Linked DNA regions of Mus musculus: region 1 is reported to be linked to region 2. Evidence: microRNA targets listed by miRTarBase, many of them from high-throughput screens and not tested one by one. Region 2 holds a microRNA gene; the other region holds the end of a gene's coding sequence.

The links. Region 2 holds the annotated microRNA mmu-miR-298-5p (GGCAGAGGAGGGCUGUUCUUCCC, at 2,605-2,627, shown strand). A microRNA usually pairs through its seed, bases 2 to 8, with sites in the 3' UTR of a target mRNA and lowers its output. Matches are read on the target gene's strand: a 7mer-m8 pairs with bases 2 to 8, a 7mer-A1 pairs with bases 2 to 7 and ends in A, and an 8mer does both.
Region 1: the mRNA of Tapbp is a reported target of mmu-miR-298-5p. Seed matches in the 3' UTR shown: 7mer-m8 at 2,454-2,460 and 7mer-m8 at 2,302-2,308.

Annotation. Positions count from the first base shown.
Region 1 is chr17:33,927,875-33,930,874 of GRCm38, reverse strand. It overlaps Tapbp (TAP binding protein), which reads right to left. Exons shown (of 8, transcript NM_009318.2): 8 at 1,585-2,735. The coding sequence ends at 2,724. Rgl2 (ral guanine nucleotide dissociation stimulator-like 2) reads right to left here and starts at 981. Exons shown (of 18, transcript NM_009059.2): 1 at 831-981; 2 at 434-630. The coding sequence starts at 589.
Region 2 is chr2:174,265,699-174,270,179 of GRCm38, reverse strand. Mir298 (microRNA 298) reads left to right here and starts at 2,595; the gene lies at 2,595-2,676. It overlaps Mir296 (microRNA 296), which reads left to right and starts at 3,055; the gene lies at 3,055-3,133.

The DNA of each region.
Region 1 (3,000 bases), not on the chromosome of region 2:
TGGGGGAAGAGGCGGCGAAATCTGAGGGTTCCCTCCCCAATCCTAGAGTCTGAGGAGCTGGTTACTGTGGAAACAAACCCCTCCCAGCCAAACAAAAAACGAGGAGGGAGACAGGGACCAAGATACAACTGCCCAGTGGCACCCGTCTAAGCAGGTATGGGCAAAGAGGGCCTGAGCCCCGCAGGCACAGTCAGCCCGTCTGCCAGCCAGCCATTCTGGTTCCGGCAGGTTCCTACGGGCAGGTTCCGAGCAGACAGACAGGGCGAACTTCATAGACACCAGGACCCGCAGCCAGGGGACAGATATCCAGAGAGAGTGTGGCGGGCGGGATGCGAGTGAGGCGGGGAGGAAGAGACCGAGGGACCCAGAGACACCGAAAGGAGGAGAGTCTCAGAAATATTTAATGCCCTGCCTCCCGCCACCCGCGTCTCACCTCTTCTTCTTCCTCATCCTCTTCCTCCTGCCCCCCGCCCACGGCCCGGCCACCTGGGTCCCCACCCTCTTCGGGGTCCCGGCTCCGGAAGCTGCTCAGCACGACTCCCCCGGGGGGGGTCGTGTCCAAAAGCAGCCGCAGGGGCCGCGGGAGCATGGCCGAGAGAAGCAATCAGCGGGGTCGGGCCATGGGGGCGCCTGGGGAGAGACGGGTGGGATTGGGTGGAGTCAGACGGGCGTGGGGGAGACGGACAAGAAGGGACCTAGGTGGGAGTCCCTGAGGAAGGCTGGGGGAGGGAGATACGGGAGTGGGGAAACCCAAGCCCTCGGTGCTTGCTTGGGACTTGGGGGCTAACTAGTGCGGAATGGGCAGGGTCACCCGGTGCTCCGGCTCTGACCTGCTCGGGAAGGGCGAGGGCTGCGCGCGGGTCCCGGGCCTCTGTTCTTGTCGGTCTCTGGCCCTCTACCGAGTCCCCTCCCCGGCTTTTCCGCGATGCCCCCCTCCTGCACCCCGCCGGGCTCCCGGGCCCTCCCGCCCTTTCCGCTTCCCCCCTCCCCGCGTCCGCCCGACAGCAGGAGCCAAAAAGGGAAGGAAGTGAGGACAGGAGCCAGGGAGAGCGACTAGGGGAGTGCTGGACGCCAGGGGCTGGGACGCAGGCTGCAGGTGCACTACTCCGCTGTCCCTTGCAGCCCCACTCGGTGGCTCTGAAGCCCGCGTCTCGCAGCAGACACGCTGGAGACCAGGGTCCTGTCTCAAGCCTCCACAGGAAGGCAAACACGGAATTTTAAGTCACTTTTTCTAACCAGAGCGGCGCTGCAACTGCCGAGGAAAGTGCCCTAGCAGTGGCGCGACCCCGTTACTGCAGCTCGAGAATGACACTGCCGCCCCGGCACGAGTGCAACGGAGCGAATCCGCGCCGGGTTTTCTGTGCCGCCCTTATGCCCGCCCACTCGCGGGGAGGGGGCGGAAGCCGGCTAGTGCGGCGCTTCCGGTTCCACTCGGGTCCGTCGCTCCGGGCGTCCGGCTCTCACCGTGCGCCCGAGCGCGCGCGGTTCCCACGGTGGCTATGTCGTCTCCCGGGTGCGAGACGAGGACCGGGAGGTGACCGAGGTTGGCTGTGCTTGGAAACGGGAGAATGAGAGGCCCGCATGGAAACTCGGAAAGACTTTATTAGCTCACGAGGACCGGCGAACAGGAGAGGACGAACCACACGGGGACATTCGTAAAGGGCCGAGACCCACCAGGCCCGGAGATGGTAAAGGTGGACCAGGCAAAAGAAAAGCTGTGGTAGGAATGGAGAGCTGGAGAGGTAGGCTTTAGTCCGCGAGGGAGACACATGGACCTTTCCGTCTCTAGACTACTGCTGTGGGCTGTCCCTGAGGTCTCTAGAATCTTAAGATGCTATGAAGACCTTTCGTCCTAATCCCCTGGCCAGTGGTTCTCAACCTTCTTAACATTAACGCAGTTCAAGTTGTAAAATTATTTTCTTTGCTACTTCGTAACTGCCTTTACTACTGTTGTGAATCCTAATGTCTGGTATTTCCGATGGACTTAAAGGGGGTTGTGAGCCACAGGTTATGAACCCGCCTCTCTGGCGCATACACTGGTTCTTCTCAACCCTGGGACTCTACGCATGTGTGTTCTTATATTTAGTTCTCTCAACAAAGCCCCGCCAAGTAACCCCGACTGACCTGAAACTCCCTATTTGTAGATCAGGCTGGCATGGAAATGTCAGAGATCCACTGCCTCTGCCTCCCGACTGTGGGCATCAAATGAGTGTGGCGCTAAGTCTCGCTTTTTTCTCATCTTAAAAGTTTAGTTCGAGTCCAGCGGTGGTGGCGCACGCCTTTAATCCCAGCACCTGGGAGGCAGAGGCAGGCGGATTTCTGAGTTCGAGGCCAGCCTGGTCTACAGAGTGAGTTCCAGGACAGCCGGGACTATACAGAGAAATCCTGTCTCCAAAAACCAAAAAAAAAAAAGACCTCTAGGCATGGTGTCCAGTGCCGTTTGTCACTCCGAGGCAGAGGGACAGGTGGATCTCTGGGACTTCGAGGCCAGCCTGGTTGGCTTGGTGAGGGTTCAGGACAGCCAGCCAAGGCTACATAGAGAGACCTTGTCTAAAAACAAGAACAAAACAAGAAAGATTGAAACAAACAAAAAAACCTTAAAAAAAAAAATCCGAGCTATTCAATGGAGGGAGAAGAAGAGAAGAAGGCTGTTGTTCTGGGGCAGGGGCTACTGGAGTCATCTGGGCCAGAGATGAGGGTGGCTTCCACAGACGAGAACTTCTTTACTGTGACTTCTGCAAGAGAAGAAAGAAGTGGGGAATTGGAAGTGTTGGGAGGGAAGTGAGTTTCTCCCAGTTAATGTAGAAACATTCTCACAGTTACAGGCGTGGGAGCAGGCTGGGGCTGTCATTTCCCACCGGCCAGACATGGTCATGAGTGTCCTCGCTCCTGAGTCTTCCAGAAGACCCAGTGGGTCAGCTGAGAATCCAAGCAAACCCCACCCCTGGGCTGTGCTCTGAGCTTTGGAAGTCCTTATGTTGTCTACATGTTTACATTGCC
Region 2 (4,481 bases):
TTTCCTTCTCCCCGGCTCAGTCTTGCTTCTTGGGAAAAGGTATTTTTCTTGGAAACAGTGAGACTTGGTTGATCCCTATCTCCCAAGGCCTAAGTCCTGTGGGCTTCAGGATGGCACTGTGTCACTATGTCGCTGTGTGAGTTGCTTATTGCTCCAAGCTCAGCCTTAGTAATTCAGAAGGCCTCATTCTTATTGACCTGTTTGTAGAGTCTGCAGCGCAGAGGCCTAGGCCTTGGGGGACTACGTGTTCATTTAATTCACTTCAACTTCATGGCAACTAGAGAGAAGCCTAGCTGCAGCCGAGCTCCCAACTTGCCGAGGGCCACCTCGCTGAGGAGTAGGAGTCAAGCCCGCTTCTGACTGAGGGGGTAGCTGGTGTCCAGAGCCTATTTTCCAACCCTGGCGGGCACTGAAAAGCCTTTTGAAGGGGGTCCAAGATGATACTTAGGCTGAGCTGAGTTTAGGCCATCAGAGACCTCGGTGCAGCAGAGCTGTGAGGGAGATAGCCGCTGGGGCTGAGGGCATAGGTTTGGGATGAGCTGGCTGGGAGCTATAGGAAGGCACATAGGAGCACACTTAACAAGCACTGAGGGCCACATGTGAGGTGTCTACTTGGAGGAGTGGCTCGTGGCTCCTAGCTGCCCTTGCAGGGGCTCTGGTACACTCAGGAGTCAAGTGGTTCTTCATGTGAGCAGAAGCTGAGGGGTGACTGGGGCTGATGGAGGTCTGAGCTACCCTCGAATGAGGATTTGGGGCAATGTTCACCGAAACGGTCAAGTCAGAGAGGCTTTCTCTGGGGCCTCTGACAGTGTAAGCAAGAGGCACCCTCCCTCGTACTTGTGGGATCTTCAGCTCTTTTGCAACTCAGCCTGTAGCTAGGGATGGGTCTTTGTAGTCTGCTGGACAGATAAGACAGACATCCACCCCAAGTGAAGATACAGAGCATCCTCTCTCCTTGCAGCTGAGAGCTGGACTGAGTGCTACACAGTTTTGAAGGAACAACTCTAGAGTGTCCTTGAAGATGATGGGGCCCGCTTACAGTAGCTTCTCTCGCAGCACCTCTAAAGTCACCAGCTCACCTTCTTGGCAGCCTGGAGAGCTACGTGTACCTCCTGGCATTTCTCTGTTTTCTGAGTGATGGGAAAGGGGCTTATATGGCCAACACTTGGAGCCACATCTCTAGCCGCCAAGTCAGATGTATTGGGAACAACTGCACAGAGGGGAGAGGACTCCGCAAAGGGCTCACACTAAAACTGTGCTCTTCCTCTGGGGGGAGGACTTCAGAGGGAGTACAAAGTACCTCAGCCCCTCACAGCTTGGTGGTGATGCACCCCTTTTCTGAGAGCCACTTAGCGCAGGATTCCTGTGACCCTTCTGTGCTGAGCAGCTCTTGGGCCTGACACCATCCCCAGCTGTCCCAGCCTTGTTACCTATGGGTGCCTGGGTTGGTTGTCCATGTTGATGGTTGGGATCAAGGGTGGGTGGGTGTCCATCAGATGTGTCTTTCTGTGATGGGCCTCACTGTTCTTCTGTTTGCTTCTGCCTCCCACTGTTGCTCTACTGCACCCGTGGGAGCATGATGGCTCTGCTCCGTCTCTCTTCTCTGCTCAACCAAAGAGTTTCAGAAAAGAGAAAGGAAGCCTTTTCTGAAGTCTCTAGACTTGATTTCTTGTCCTCAGTGCTTGCCCTGGCTGAGGGCCCCGTACAAGTGAACTCTGGGAAGATGATTTGTCTAGGGTCATGGACAAAGGCCTTAGAAGATGACTTCCAAGCCTATTTCGTTAACGACCTGCATTCATTAGAAAAGGACCTGTGTTTTCAAAAACATGGCTCTTGTGTCTCACATGGTCAGACAGTAGCCAAAAGATTGCCCATAAATATGTCTTCTGATGGCTGTTTGGCTACTAGGACAGAACCATTAAGTTGAAGAGCTTAAAACTATGACCTTAGCGGCTGTGTGTCTGTTTTGTTTATGTCTTAACATTCCCTACCCCATCTCTCTGTTCTAAGCACCTCTGAGCTCTCAGCACAGTCCTGCCTTTGAAGCCTTGTGTGATGGGGAGCCTCAAGGATTGGAGCCTGCACTTCTTCAGCTGCTTCTGCTGTGAGCACAACATTCAGTCCTGAGGAAAAGGTTTGCTAAGTAGGAGAACTTGGGGGTTCTTCCTCCTCAGGTATGGATTGATTTTTCACCTCACAGAGACCCAGTCAGCACCCATGGGGTGGGGCATTTGAGTTGGGAGGTGGGTCTTGCTGGAGCAGAGGCCCAGCAAGGTGGATCCTTCTTGGAGCGTGGGAATCTACAGGGCTGCTTAGAAATGGTTTGATTGGTTCATAATGGCACCTTGATAGAACAAGAGGGTTTACTGTACAGGATACTTGCCACACCATGGCCCTCTTTGTGCTACTACATGCAAGTGAGTGAGTCCATTGGATGGAGTGGTCATAGACAGATCTGGCCATGAGATGAGTGTCTCTGGACCCCCACTAACTAGCTCCTGCCCAATTGACTGCTTCCTGAGCACCACAGCTATTTGAGGTAGGCTGGGACGTTCCTGCCGTGCTTGAAAGAGACACCAAGAGGCATAAGAGGCCCAGGCCTTTGGCAGAGGAGGGCTGTTCTTCCCTTGAGTTTTATGACTGGGAGGAACTAGCCTTCTCTCAGCTTAGGAGTGGGCCAACAGCTTCCTTCCGATCTCCAGGAGAATGTTGCTGGTTGACACACGGAACTCATCCTCTAAGTTCCCCCACCCATCAAGGTAGCTGGTGGAGTCAGAGATAGATGTTTCTAAAAGCCATGGAGAACTTTGAGGTCTTGTCATAATGCCCTGAGCCTACTACTAAGACTGCCACCTTCCCATTGTCGATGCAGTGGCTTCTGAGCGCACGTAGCTGGGAAGCGGGTGAGCGGGCCAAGATCCAGGTTAGTGGGCATTCGAGACTACAGAAAGAGACCCTCCTAGGGTCTTGGGGTTGGGGAGACAGAGGCAGGGCCCCTAAGAGGGGATCTCCATCTGTGTGCACACAGAACAGCCTATGTGGAAGGTGACAAGAGGGCCTTTCTGGAGGGCCCCCCCTCAATCCTGTTGTGCTCGCTTCAGAGGGTTGGGTGGAGGCTCTCCTGAAGGTGTCCGCAGAGCGTCGCATGGTAAGTAGTCCCTTGGGGCTCTAGAGAATGCTTGCTGTCTTTGGCTTGATCCCAGTGGCAGCCTCTGCTAGACTAGTCCTGCCCCCCAGTTAGTGCTCATGGGGTACCAGAGACCTGACCCCACCCTGTCTGCTCTAGGCTAATAGTGCCCTGCTTCCCTGGGCTTGTACCACCTTGTGTAGTATCTCCCTACTCTTCTGTATCCTTGGCTGGGAAACTTGCTTCCTAGCACCAGACCTTCCTTGATGTGGTTGTTTGCTTTCCTTTCACTTATCTTTTCTTTCCTACAGGAGTGGGATGGACATCAGTCAGATCCACACCGGTCTTCATGGCAGCCCCCCTTTTTTATTTATTTATTTATTTATTTTTGAGACAAGATCTCACTGAATTATCCATACTGGCCTTAAAACTTGGAATCCTTATGCCTTAGACTCCAGCATTTCTGGCATAAACTGCTGTGTCCAGTCTAGAAGGCATTTTGGTGAACCACCCCTGTAAGACTGAGCTGGGGGGGGAGGGTGTCAGGCACCCAGTTTTGAGTTACTCACACCCAGCCTCTCCCAAGTGTGACACAGTATCTGCCTAATAAATTCACGAAGAAAGATTGTTTGGTGTTGTTCTCATCTGTGCTCTGCGCTCTACCCAGCTCTGCCTGGTGTGCCCATCACTCATCCCACTTCACCAGCTTGCTTCTAGCACACACCTGGCTTGATCTTGCTTCTTAGTGTCTCTTCCCATTAATTAGATTTAACTCAACTGCAAGAGGGCTGGAGCACCTTTCATTTAGAGTACAGTAAACTCTGAATAGAGGGAGGGCGGGAGGGAGGGAGGGAGGGATGGGGGGTAGGAGGGGGAACAGATGAGTGTGTGGATAGATGCGCGGGTAGGTGGGTGGATGGATGGATAGAGAGACATTGAAGAAGATTCAAACCAATAGTGCAGGTTAAGCACTAAACAGGGAGTGAAGGCTGTGAAGCCCAAATGGGAGGCTGTGTATCAGCCGTCTCGTGAGCAGAAGCTAGAGTAAAACCCTCAGATATGAATTCTATAAACTTCAGTTCTCTTCCTTTGGGAAGCCCCAACAAGCTACTCACTCACCAGCCATAGGCCGCTGTCCTCAGGCCTGCTGTTTCTGCTTTTCCAACACTCCTCTGCACTGAGCCTCCTTCTTAGTGTTACCTGCCACTCATCTTCCCACCCTCTTCCTTGTCTGTAGCCATTGTCTTGACAAAGAGGTAAGACTCTCCTGGCTGTGTTACTAGTGGGAGAGAATGGTTGGCATCAAGAACTGCAAAAATCACCACATGTGTCAGGAGAGACTCTGGGAGAAAAC